Notamacropus eugenii: one gene and its partner. The protein of the gene in region 1 purifies or fractionates together with the protein of each later gene. This does not show direct contact. Links are inferred from orthologs where the notes say so. Each region holds a gene or a part of one and is shown on either strand. Other genes may lie near its edges.

Region 1 (5,918 bases):
ACTCCCCGATATCCTGTACTTCAGTGAAATTGTACTGCTTGTTACCTTTACATGTTTTCCACTTGGCTACCTTTCCTCAACACAGTTGCTTATGCCTGAAATGCCCTTTCCTGCTCCCAGGTGCTCCCAGTGCTTTAAAGCTCAACCTCTTACTGCTAGGAATCCTCCCCTTCAGTTATGACATATTCCTTCCTTCCCTTCCCTTACACCTGTGCCTTTTAAGCATTTATGTGGACCTTGACTTATTTAACCTCCTATATTTTGTTTTCTCTGTTCATGTGTGTCATATTCCTTAACTAAATCTTAACTCCATAAGGACAGGAATTGTCTTATCTAAGCTTTGTTTACATTTCATCGAACACCTCGTGTAGTGTTCAGCACACAGTAGACACTTGTTTGTTGAATTGAATAACTCAAATGTACAGATTTTCAGGTCTGTAAAGTACTTTCTTCACAGTCCTGTGAGGTAGGATTATTATAATCCTCATTCTACAGATGAGGAAATTGAAATTCAGAGAGGACATGTTACCATGGGTTTCCACAACCAATAAGTTTGTGACCCTAGAATGTGAACCTATGATTCTTAACTCTTTCTATAATACTCTGCTGCCTCTTGAGTGTCACACTCCATTTCCTCTGTAGGCTCAACACCAAAACTGGGAAGCTGGAGATGAGCTATTCCAAGTTCAAGGCCAAGAACCTTTCTCTCTTGGGCACCCTGATACTGAAGGTAAGGTTGACATGCACACCCAGGTACTACTATAGACCCAGAGCATGGGAACTCCAGACCCAGAGCAGACCTGAGGGAAGGTTTGTGCTTTTCCTCTTACTGATGTGAAACATGGCTATGGTTAACACCCACCTTCTGCTTCTCCAGGGTGCAGAAGCCCTCCGATTGGTGGCTGTCCGTCGAGGTGAAAATGAGGCTGGTGCCTACATTGAGTGCAACAACATGACCCTCATTAACCTGCTCATCAAGATCTTGGGGCCCATTCATGAAAAAAATCTCACTTTGTTGCTTCTGCTCCTGCAGGTGATCCTTTGGGCTAAGATGGGCATGGCGGGTCCTTATCCCTCTTCCTTATTCTTCTGTTTTCCATATATCCTCTCCCCAGGCTGGTTACCCTCCTAAGGTCTCCCTCCCTGCCTCCTTTTCTCATGACTCTCCATCTATTTCTCCTTGCAGATTCTGGCTAGTGCTATCACATTCTCTATTCGATACCAGCTGGTTCGGCTCTTCTATGATATTTGAGTCTTTGACGGTGACTCTTTACTTCACAACCCTCTGCCCCTGTCTCATGTGGACCCCTGTTGGACTAAGACTGTATTCCTCATAAGCCTATTGGGCTTCTCCCCATCCTTATTGTCTTCAAAATTATCTCCTTGGGGAGGTATCCTACCCCTCAATGATTATTTATTGATTGTATTTGCCCTATGGACTTCCCTAAATTGACATTTTTCTCCCTTTCCTTCCTTTCCTGATGCTTCCCCTGGGGCAGGAGGCAGCAGCTTCTTGGAAGCTAGGTTGCCACTAGGGATCAGGCTAAGTCCCTGGTGGTTCCTAATGGTTCCACCCTGAATTGATATGTTACTGGGAATTAAGCATTTTGATTAATAAGGAGCAACCTGAGTGGTCATTAGCTCCTTTTGGTGATGATAAATATGTTTGGTTCACTTTTTTAACTGTGGGTGTGCTCTTGTTTTCAGATGATTTTGGGGGGGCAGGGGAGGGAACACTTCCCTGCCTGCTTCCACCATTAGGTAAATATCAAATCCTGGCCCCTCTTTCTGTCTTCTTTGCTCCAGATACTGAGCTCCTTCCCTTCCTTGCAGGTGGGGGAAACATACATAGTTAAGTCATGCAACCTATGTGGAAAATTACATTGGAGAAAAACAACCAGGTGGAATAGCTATCTGAAAATGTGTCACATAGAAGGAAGTATTAGACTTCTTTTGCTTAAGTCTTGAGTATAGACCCAAGGCCAATGAGTGGAAGTCACATAGGAACAGATTTTGCCTTAGTAAGAGAAAATTTTCAAAAACCAACTCCTTATCAGAGCTATCAACAAATGGACTGAACCCCTTCAACAGGCAGTGAACTTGCCAGTCAATGGAAGCTGTTCAAAAGGAGGTCACTAACCACTTGTCGAGGACTGCCACTGATAAGAGTGAATGAATGAAGCACTTATTAAGTGTTTACTATGTGCAAAGCACTGTGCTAAGTGCTGGGCAGGCACATAGAAAAGTCAGGCCGGCCCTCCCCAGGAGCTCATATTCTAATGGAGAAACACCACATGCAAGGTTCAGCTGCAAGTCTCACGGTTCTTAGGGTGCAGCTGCAAGGGAGCTGGAAATACCTTTTCTTTAATGTTACTTCCACCAATAAAATCATATTGACTTCTGATGGTGAACCACTTGGCAGTGCCAGGGGCTTTGGTGGCAAGACCCTTCTTTTCTGAGTCTTCAGTAACTGTGGCTGCAGCACTTTCAGAACAATTTTGAGGGCTGGGCTAGAAGCAGGAGTGATGCTGTAAAGGTTGCTGAAGCTCTTAGGGCTCTTATGTCTATCTGCCTGTTGGTGGCAATTATTTCTAGTGTTGATGACAAAGGTTGAGAGGGATGATCGCCCTTTTAACTGTCCAGTCTTAAGGAGTGGAAGTGAAGGATGAGAGGGAAAGACTGATCTCTGAGGAAGACATAAGACCAAAGGGTGGAAATCTGAAAGGTAAATTTAGATTTTATGTAAGGAAAAATTGCCAAACAGAACTATGGAAAGGTAGAATAAACTGCTTTGGTCACTAGTAGGTTTCCCCCTTCTTGGGTGTCAAAGTCTTGAAGCTGAGGTTATATTGTAGATTGGATCCTATTCAGGTATGGGATGGAACCAGGGATGAGGAACCTTTGGTATCGAGGCTGGAACTTTGAAGTTTGGATTCAACGGCTGTACTAGAGGGCCACAAGTGTCCTTGAGGTCAAAGGTTCCCCATCCTTGGTTAGATGGATGGATGGATGGATGGAGGGAGGGAAAAAAAGTAAGTGCTGACTCTCAGTTGTTTCAGACTCTATGACCCCATGTGGGGTTTTCTTGGCAAAGATACCGAAGTGGTTTGCTATTTCCTTTTCCAGCTCATTTTACAGGTAAAGAACCGGGGCAAACAGCTGCCCCTAACGACAACAAACGTGCTAAGTGCGGGAGATATAACTAGAAAAGTTTGAGTCCCTGCCCTCCCAGCTCCCAAGTCCCCTCCCTCTTGTAGATGTGAGAGAAGACCCCGATCCTTCAGCTGGGGCTGGGGCCCAGTCAGGGGCTGGAGTTTTCCCTTCTCTTAGGGACTGGGCTGCAGGGACCTCTTCTTACCCACTGAACTTGTTCAAACAGGGTTTGGATTTGGAATAAAGGGCCTGGGCTAAAGGAAAACCAATTCAAAACTTCATTTTAACCTTGACCCTGGGTTTTTGCATTTCCCAAGACAATCATCGCTAGTAACAGCATCAAGCGCGGGGGACAAAGAAGGTCCGCCCAGCCTCCCACCAGAGCTCACTCAGCACGCGGTGAGCACCTGCGGCGTACCGGCACCGGCCCGAGGGGCGCGGAGGGCGGCGCCAGGCCGTGCAGTCAGACACGCCTCCCTGGTTCGGATCTAGTCTCAGCCGCCGGCAGGCTCGGGGCTCCTCGGCAGAACGGGCTGGAGAGGGAACGGCAAGCCGCAGCCGCTGCCTGGAGGGGCGGGGAAGGAAGGCGAACACGCGGGAGGAAATCTTCGGGACTAGTCCTTAGGCAAGGGGCGGGCCCTCATGGGAAAGGGCCTTCCTCACCCTTCCCGTAGCGGGCGCCTCCGGGGGGCGGGGCCCGGGCTCCGCCGGCGCTGGACGGTCCCGAGGGACCGCCCTCTGTCCGGCTCTTTCGGTCCTGTCTGACTCTGTGGCTTTGTTTTCTTGGCAAAGATATTGGGGTGATTCGCCGTTTCCTTCTCTAACTCATTTGACAGATGAGGAAACTGAGGCAGACAGGATGAAGTGACTTGCCCGAGGTCACAGCTACTAAGTGTCTGAGGTCGGATTTGAAGTAGGGAACCCGAGTACTCTTCCGCGGGCGCTCATTTGCCTTTCTTGGCGCCTAGGCCATTTGAATCTCCCGCGCTTCCGATGGATTGGCCGCTTGGGGGAGCGGGAAGCCGGGGGTGGGGAGGAGCGAAGCCGACCGCGCCCCTCCCTCTAGTTTGCTAGTCGGAGTGATCTTCCCCGGGTTAGAAGAATTTTTAAATCCAGCCAATCGGTAAGCACGCTCATACGCTCAGGAGGAGGAGCCTGATAGCTAAGGGCAGCCAATCGGAGGCGGCCTCCATGATGCAGCCAATAGGGAACTAAAGGACGCTGTGACCGGCCGCCTTAAAGGCGGCAGCTTTGCACGCGGACCGGCATTTAGACTGCGGCGAGAGTTTGGTGAGTGTGTGTGCGCACGCGCAGCCGTTACTCGCGGTAGTTCTCTCGGAACCAGTCTCGCGCTTTATACGTTAGCATGTCGGGTCGCGGCAAGACCGGCGGGAAGGCCCGTGCCAAGGCCAAGTCTCGCTCTTCGCGGGCCGGGCTGCAGTTCCCTGTGGGCCGTGTGCACCGATTGCTGAGGAAGGGCCACTACGCGGAGCGAGTCGGAGCCGGCGCGCCGGTGTACCTGGCGGCCGTGCTGGAGTACTTGACGGCCGAGATCCTGGAGCTGGCGGGGAACGCGGCCCGGGACAACAAGAAGACCCGCATCATCCCCCGCCACCTGCAGCTGGCCATCCGTAACGACGAGGAGCTCAACAAACTCCTGGGCGGCGTGACCATCGCCCAGGGCGGCGTCCTGCCCAACATCCAGGCGGTGCTGCTGCCCAAGAAGAGCGGCGCCATCACGGGACCCAAGGCCCCGGGCAGCGGCGGCAGCAAGAAGAGCACGCAGGCCTCGCAGGAGTACTGAGCGCCTCGCCGGCCTCGGCCCGTGGCCGCTCGGCCCGCACCGGCCCCCCTCCCCCACAAAGGCCCTTTTCAGGGCCGCCTCCCCCCTCCCTGAGAGAGCTGCTGCACCCGCCTCCCTCCCCGAGCCCCGCCCCCGCCGGCCCGGCCCGGCTAGAGCTGCAGCCCGGAGCCCGGAGCTGCGGCCCGGCCCGCCGGGGCCCGGGTTATTCTGACTCCTTCTCTCTTGGCAGCTACCGAACAAAGCCCGGGGCCATCGCGCCCCAAGGTCGCGCGGGGCCCCCAGACCAGCGAGGGCCAGACCTCGTCCGAACCCGGCCGGCCCCGACCCTGGACAATGAACTGAATTTTCTCAGCTTAGACTCGTTGCCTTTATCCGGGGAATTGAGAGACTGTGAACGACAATTCGGAAGTCTGATTAACTTAATTTTATTAAATTTTTTTTCTAATGAAGTTTCTTGTCTTTCTTCAGCTCCCCCTAGGTGCCAAAGGTTAGCTAAAGATCGTGGTGATTCGGTGGCCACTTTTCCTTGGGGGAATTTGGGTCTGGAGAGTAAAAAGATTTTAGTACGTAAATCAGTCAACGTGCGTATTTATGTGCCAGGAACTGGAGATAGATATACTGGAAGGTGAATGGGATGACTGTCCACACCCCAGTCATCATCTACAGGCTAAATAAAAATTCCACTAGAGTAAGGTCAGGTGTTTTATTGACAAATTTGGTTACATTCAAAGTCTGTAGACTCTCCACAGAAAACAATTCTCCAGCCCCTTGTAAAAGAGGGCCAGAACAAGGCACTAGGAAGCTTAGCAGCAACAGGTCCCCTTTCCCACACCTGAGGCCCAGATGATGCAGTTTTTTGTGCCCAGGGATAGTTCCTGTTGAGTTAATTAATCCGGGAAGGATTCAGGGCACCCCAGAACAAATCTGGTCAATGTTCCTGGGCAGAAAATGCCCTTGGGAC
Region 2 (7,536 bases), on another chromosome or scaffold:
ATCGGATGCAGGAGCCCAACTCGACCCACTGCTTGGCCTCTCCCTTCTAAGGCTCTCTCCCACCTACTCTCTCTTCATCAGACATGAGGACTCAAGCACATATCTCCCCATTTGATTGTGAGCTCCTGGGGACAAGGACTGAGATTGTGTCTTTCTTTGCTTCCCCAAAGCTTAGTACAGTGTGTAGCATATATAGTAGGTGCTCAGACAGTGACAGGAGGCTAGGGGAGGGAGGCCCCAATGACGTACCAGGTGACGCTGCAGACACTTGAGGCTTTTCCCATACTTCAGACAGAATTCGCAGAGATAGAGCACAGGTAGGGCAGTTAGTTCTTGGGGATATGGGGAGAAGTACCAGGGCTTGAGGCGGTGGCGGCCCAGCTCGATGCACTCGATGTTCTTCATGCGGGTAACAATGTCGTCGTGGCTGCGGTCAGACACCAAGCTGCCTGTCATGCGAGGGGCCGACGGGATTCCGTCCGAGCTATCCTGTGAGTCCTGTCGGTGGCCACAGGGCAGGGAAAGGCATGAGCATGCCACCCTCCCCTGACTTGGCTCCCTTTACTCCACCCTTACCAGACTCACCTCATCTGTGCCTAGACAGTTGGACTTCCTCTTCCGTCCTGGCTGGGCAGCCAGTGCCCTCCGGGCTGAACCATTCTGTGGAGACACAGGAGGGGGAAGGAAGGAATGAGCTGAGGGTCTCAAGGGCATGGGCTCAGGGGCACCAAGGGGGTCTCAAGCACACACCTGAGGGAAGACAGAGGCTGGTGCTGTCTCGCTGGGCACGGGAGTTGCTGGTGAAACCACTTCGACTTTCCGTTTCTGCAGAGAGAGACCGAGAAAGGTGGGTCAAAGGGGCAGGGGACCTGGGTCTTGGAAGGAAGCGAGCTCACAAGGAACTGTGGGGACGAGGGAGCTGGGCTCCGGAGCTCCAGGTGAAGAGTGGAATCCGAGGGTACCGTGGAACGGTGGTTGGGTTGCAGGCAGGAGCTGGAGGAGAGGGGCTGGTCAGGCTCGCCGCCGGGGATGGCCTCGCGCTCCTTGGGTAGGTTGAAGCGGAGCGTGATCTGCACCGGGATCGGCAGTGTCTTCCCACTGGCCTGGGCCGAAGCCGGCTGTAGAGATAGGTCCAGGGTCTTCCTCTGGGGGAGGGGGAAGGGAGCGAGGGGGAGGGGAGGAGGGGGCCCCCATCAGCCAGGTGGGTTCACCCCCCCACCCCTTCCCCTTGGGCTGGCTTCCCACCCCAGCTATGTGGGGTTTGGTGACTGAATTTTGAAACCTAAGATTCAGTAACACCACCTCCTCCCTCTGACCCGACCTGAATCTCTACAGAGCCTCTCCAGGCTGCGGCCACTATAGCAGGGCTGCCTTGTTCCCCTTCTCATCCTCAGCCTGCGGCACAGGAGCCCCAAAACCATGGGTTAAGCACGACAGGGACAAGCGAGATGGGGGCGGGGCCTGACCATCCTCCTGGGAACTGTCTCCAGGTTGATTTGGATACTGCTTCTACTCACCACCTCCCTCTCAGGGGAGCCCGGTCTGGACCCAGGGAGCCCATTTTTTGTGGGGGTCTTCGCCTCTTTTTTAGGAAACTGGATCTTCTTTAGGTCCAGCCTGTCATGGGTCACCCACTCATCCAGGCGCTTGTTGACTGCACAGAAGTGGAGAAGTTCTGATGTAAGGTGTCCCCCAGGGCTCTTCTCATCCTCCCAACCCCCGATGCCTGTGATACCCGCCCTGTACCCAAGGACCACTGGGCGTGGCACTCACAGTCTATGTAGTGAACGTAGAACAACTTCCGGCCACTAATGTCCTTCACACTCAGGATCTCGGCCAAAGCTGCGAGGGAGAGGCAGGAGTCTTGGAGGGGTGCTGGGCACAGACCCCACTTTGTCCCTGGGAGCCAGCTTCCTCCATGTCCACCCCCTGCTTTGGTTCTACCCTCTGGAGAAAAGTATCTTCTCTCCCCCTCCAAGTCCCTCCCCAGGATGCCCAGATCACCCCCTCTCCTTAGCTTGGGTCCTGCCCCTTCCCCACCAGTCCCTGGCCCCGCCCTTAGATTGCCCTTGGAATGCCCTTGGAGAGGGGGGGTGCCAAGGACTCTGGCCCCGCCTCTTGGCTCCTAGGGGTCCTTAGCCCCGCCCTGCCCTCCACCCGAGGCATCCTAAACTGGAGACCAAGTCTCACCTCTCCCAAGACCGGGGGTGGGTGGATGAGTGGGTGGAGTCTTCAGGTTCTAGCCACACCCCACCAAGCCCCACTCTGGGAGGTCTCAGGCTCCATCCTTAAATTAGCCACGCCCCTTTGCCATTTACCCCAGGCCCCCTCTCTAATCCCTTCCCAGGAGGTCTCTTGGCCTCTGGCCAGGCCCCCTCCCCGGAGTCTCTCAGACCACGTCCCTCCCTCCCCGAGCCCTGGCCCTCTCTTTATCCTTCCCTCCGAGGTATGTTTCAGCCCCGCCCCTCAGGGGAACCACGCCTATTCGCTCCCCAAGCCCCGCCCTCCCTGCAGGGCTCCAGCGCCCAGGCCCCGCCTCCACGGCGCCCGTTGGCTCCGCCCCCCGTCACTCACGCCACTCATCCTCGTTATCCTGATTACGCCGCAGCACGGGCAGGCGGCAGCCTTCGATGACCTCGCCCTGGGGAAGACACCGCGGTCAATGGGGGAGGCCGGGGGAGTCGCCGCCGTCCTGCGGATGCCTCCGCCCCGCCTCGCCCCGCCCCGCGCCGGGCCCCGGACTCACCACCTCCGCCATCTTCCCTCCCTCCCTCAGGAGCCGCTTCCGGCTCCGCGGGGTGACGTCACATCCGGCGTACCGGCGCCTCCCTGCTAGCAGCTCTGAGGGTGTGGGGCTGCGGGAGGCTCCGGGAGGAGGGGACCGGGGGCGGGAGGAGCCCGCGGCCAAGAACGCGGCCCAAGCGGGGAGGGCGGCCGGCCCTCAGGGGCGCTCGGCTCCGGGTTGGGCAAGCGGCGCAGGAACCACCTCGAGGCCCCGGGCCGGCTCCGGGCCGGGGCGGGGCCTCGCGCCTCGCTGCCTGATTGGAGGAGAGCTGGGTCCTTCACGCCACGTAGTTCGAGCGCGTCGCAGTCACGTGGGCGCGTGACGCGCTTGTTGTTCCGGCCGGGTCCTGGAAGTGCGGGCGGGGCCGGCCTGCGGGGCAGCAGACTGCGGCGGCGGTGCTCCATCCGGCCTGCACTGGGTTCGAATGCGGCTGCTCACCCGAGCTGCCTTAGCGACCTTGGACAAGTCACTCTCCAGTCTGGGCTTCAGTTTCCCCCTCTGTAAAGGGTCGGGGTTGGCCGGGCTGGGCGCCTGGAGTCAGGAAGGCCTGAGTTCCAGTCGTGCCCAGACCCTTGTTAGTCCTGTCACCCTGGGCACATCACTGCGTCTCGGCTTAACGGAGCCCTAACGGCACCTGCCCCCACCCCCGGCCCCCAGGGTTGTTGTGAAGATCGAATGGCATTTCGCTGCCAGAGTGCCCAGTCACGATGCAGCGCAGAGGCATGTCAAACCCAGGGCGCTGCCAACCACTGTTTCTCCCCCAAACCTTCTTTGGACAACCGAGCCTGGGCCGAGGGGCCTGTCCCAAGTGAGTTGTGAGGATCCCCCGCAGGCAGAGTTCGTGTTTGCTAGGTCTTTTTGCTTCCGTCAATAAATCAATTAATTAAAATAAGTGATTGCTTTGTTTTTGATTTACCAAAATGAATTGGAGCAAATACTGACCGGAGAGACCACGGAGGAATACCTTTGCCACCATCACAAGGAATGAACGGGCCTCCTTTGTCTATGGCGGTGAGTTCTCATCCTGGATCTCTCCCACCGTAAACACAAGTATTTCAACAAAATTAATGTGCTTTTGAATTTTTAACGCAGTTGTCAATTTGACGTTTCTAAACCGAAGAAGGAAATGGATCATGAGCTCCTTTGGAGCAGCAGCAGCTGGTGGTTTTATGAAGGGATGTGAAAACGGAATGCTGCAAAGGCTGGGAGGTTATGTGTGACCTTGGTCCGTTCACATCCCTTCCTTCCGTCTCAGTTTCTTGAAGGACGTCTAAGGTGACTCCAACTTCTCACAATTTACCCTCTGAGGCCCTTCCAAGTTCTCATGTTTTGTATTCTAAGGTCCCTCTCAGTTCTGACCTGCCCAGCCAATCCTGACAGTCTACATTCTATGCTCTTAAATTCTCTATCAGGCATCATTATATAGATAGGTCTATATTTACATGTGTACATGTTAGACTCCTATAAAATGTCAGATCTTTGAGGACAAAGAACTTCTATTTTTTGTCTTTGTATCTCCAGTGCCCAAACAGTGCCTGGCAAGCAGTTGGTTTATTGATTCCAAGGTCCTTTTCATCTCTTATGTTCTGTGTCCTAAGGTCTCCTCCAGTTCTGAAACCCTGTGCTAGGTTTTCAAGTCTCTCTGAGGATTAACATTCTCTGTTCTGTTTTGTACTGTCTAGCAAGACTTTTCCAAGGCCAGAGAAAGTAACAACGCTCCCCGCTCTTCATCCCTATCTTCCTGGTATTCCCAGAAACTGTCAAGTTTCAACTCCAACCCCACCTTCTGCAAGAAGCTTTTCCTGATCCCCTTTAATTCTAGTGCTTAACATCTGTGAAATACCTTCTATTTATGTACACAGTATGATGTTTGTATGTTGTCTCTAATCAGACTGTAACACCTCGAGAGTAGGGGCTGTCTTTTGCCTTTCTTTGTATCCCCCAAGCTTAACACAGTGTCTGGCATACAGTAATAGACTAATAAACACTCAGCGGACTTGCAGGATAACATTCCATAGCCTTGTCTTTTAAAAACCATGATTAGACATTTTTTTCCTCTATGTTCTAAGGCACCCTCCCAGTTCTGACAATCTGTGTTCTAATTTCTTTCCCCTTTCTGATAATCTACAATCTAAGTTCCGTCCCAACGCTGCTCTTCTACACTGTGTGACCTAAGTAAGCTCTGACAGTCCATGTTCCAAGGCTCGTACAAGCTTCGACATTCTCTGTTCTACTTTTTAAGACTTCTCCCAGGTAAGACATTCTTGTCTTTCTGGGATCACATATCTGGAGATAAAGGGACCTCAGAAATCAACTAGTCTAACACCTCTACCATTTTATTAATGAGGAAATTGAGGTCTAGGGAGGTTAAGTCTCAGTGGCTGAGGTGGGATTTGAACCCAGTTCCTCTGATTTCCCAACTCATGCTTCTTTCACTATACCAAACTGCCCTAAGGATACATTCAGCTCTGATATTCAGTGTTATCTAGCTAATAGCATTTAGGTTCTCCAGTTTCTGGTCCCTGCTAGTCTGATATTCTCTGCTTGATGCTGTAATGTCCCATCCACTTCAGCAAGTCCTATGTTCTAAGGTCCAAGCCAGCCCTGACATGCAGTTCTCTAAGGCCTTTCAAAGCTCTGACATTCTTTCTTCAAATGCCCTCCTCATTTCCAGCAGTCTTTATTCAAGGGTCCCTTCTGATAGGTTTTGTTCTCAGGTCCCTCCCATCATACACTAACAATCCATGTCTATGTTGTAATACCCATCCACGCTTCAGATTAGTTCCCTTCAGTTTCAGATATCCCATGTTCTGCTGTCACATACTGTGTTGCCTCTTACCATCTCTTAGTATGTTCTAAAGATGCTCCCACCTTAGATAAGCTTTCTCAGAGACATCCTACCTGATGAACAAATGCTATGTTCTGTGCTAAAGTCAAAGCTTGACCTTTGACATTTGAGGTTCTAAGGTCTTTCCTAGCTCTGATAGTCTATGTTGTAAACTCTCAGACAGCCAATACACATGAATTAAGCACTATGCTAAGCACTAGGGATACAAAGAAAGGCAAGATAGTCTCTGCCCTCAAGGACCTCACAATCCCTTTAGGGGTTTCCCCAACATGCAACAAACTATGTACAAACATGCCATATAAACAGGAAAAATAGGAAATAATTAACAGAGGGAAAGCACTAGGACTAAGAGGGAAAGAGAAAGGCTTCCTGGAGAAGATGGGCTTTTAGTTGGGACATACAAGAAGTCAGGAGGCCAGCAGTCGGAGATGAGGAGAGACAATGTTCCAGGCACAGGAGGCAGCCAGAGGAAGTACCTGAATCCAAGAATTGGAGGGTCTTGTTCATGGACCAGCAAAGAGGCCAGTGTTACTGAATCAAAGAGTACAAGTCAGGGAATAAGGTGTAAGAAGATTGGAAAAGTAGATAGGAGCTTCAAACACCAAAAACAGTAAGTAGGACCTGCTCTTTAGGAAAATCATTTTAGCAGCTCTATGGTGGCTGGACTGGAGTGGGGAGATACTTGAGGCAGGCAGACTCACCAGCAACTAATCCAGGCTTGTGGTGATGAGGAGAGAAGGGGGTATAATGGGAAGATGCTGCAGAAGTGAAATCAATCAGAGGTGTTACAGAGGAGAAATCAACAAGAAGGGCTAGAGAGGAGAAATCAACCAGAGGTGAAATGAACAAGGAGGCTGGAGGGGGAGAAATCAACATATTGGATGGGGGAAAGGGAGGGAGGGAGTAGTCCAGAATAACTCCTAAATTGGGAGCCTGGGGGACTGGGAGGATTGTGTTGCCCTCTACAGTAACAGGAAAGTAGGAAGTGGGGATGGTTTGGACAATACTGAGTTTAGGATGTCTACTGGACATCAAGATGCCTTGAAAGGCAGAGATATGAAATTGGAAATCAGCAGAGTTAAGGCAGGATAGGTAAATTTAAGAATCATCGGCATAAAAGTGGTAATTAAATCCATGGAAACTGATAAAATCACAAAGTGAAATGGAGAGAGAGAAGAGAAGAGGGTCCAAGAGAGGAGGGGCCTAGGGAAGAGAGCATGATCTGGAGAAGGATCCAGCAAAAGAGACAGAAAGAATGGTCAGAGAAGAACCAGGAGAGAAAGGTGTCCTGAAAACCAACAAAGGAAACAGTGTCAAGGAGGAGAGAGTGACCACTATTATCAAAGGTTGCAGAGAAGCCAAGGAGAATAAGGAATGAGAAAAGGCTGCTAAGAGATCATTGGTAAACTTTAACATTCTGTGTTCTAAGGTCACTCACATCTCTGATATTCTATGTTCTAAGGCCCTTACTAGCTTTGACCATCAAAGGTCTCCTCATATCTGATGTCCTATGTTCTCAGGTCTTTCCTAGCTCTGATATTCTATATTCATCTAAGCTTTGACATTATATATTCTATATTCTGAGATCACTCCCAACACTGACATTTGGTATTGGATGTTCCCTGAGTCTTATGTGCTGATATTCCACATGCTAAAGGCCTTTTCAGGCATCAAGGTGGCACAGTGGATAGAGTGTGGGGCCTGGAGTCAGGAAGACTCGCCTTGAATGCAAATCTGGTCTCAGACACTTAGCTGCGTGACCCAGAGCAAGTCATTTAACCCTATTTGCCTCAGTTTTCTCATCTGTAAAATGAACTGGAAAAAGAAATGGCAAACCACTCCAGTATCTTCACCAAGAAAACTTCAAATGAGGTCGTGAAGAATTGGACATAACTGAACAAAG

What was found.
Region 2: the proteins of H2AX (region 1) and KAT5 purify together in Homo sapiens (affinity purification with western blotting; 3 studies listed by BioGRID and IntAct, with this or other methods). This does not show direct contact. The link is inferred for Notamacropus eugenii from reciprocal best matches to the Homo sapiens genes H2AX and KAT5.

The regions. Positions count from the first base shown.
Region 1 is NC_092876.1:279,716,951-279,722,868, forward strand, and holds H2AX (histone H2AX), read left to right. Parts: upstream 1-4,411; 5' UTR 4,412-4,519; coding exon 4,520-4,957; 3' UTR 4,958-5,406; downstream 5,407-5,918. Other genes in the region: DPAGT1 (UDP-N-acetylglucosamine--dolichyl-phosphate N-acetylglucosaminephosphotransferase), read left to right, coding at 643-730, 878-1,033, 1,187-1,252. UniProt on the Homo sapiens protein: Variant histone H2A which replaces conventional H2A in a subset of nucleosomes. Nucleosomes wrap and compact DNA into chromatin, limiting DNA accessibility to the cellular machineries which require DNA as a template.
Region 2 is NC_092873.1:18,452,588-18,460,123, reverse strand, and holds the start of KAT5 (histone acetyltransferase KAT5), read right to left. Parts: upstream 3,029-7,536; 5' UTR 2,759-3,028; coding exon 2,747-2,758; intron 2,642-2,746; coding exon 2,575-2,641; intron 1,843-2,574; coding exon 1,774-1,842; intron 1,655-1,773; coding exon 1,518-1,654; intron 1,146-1,517; coding exon 963-1,145; intron 826-962; coding exon 751-825; intron 661-750; coding exon 586-660; intron 499-585; coding exon 250-498; intron 1-249. UniProt on the Homo sapiens protein: Catalytic subunit of the NuA4 histone acetyltransferase complex, a multiprotein complex involved in transcriptional activation of select genes principally by acetylation of nucleosomal histones H2A and H4.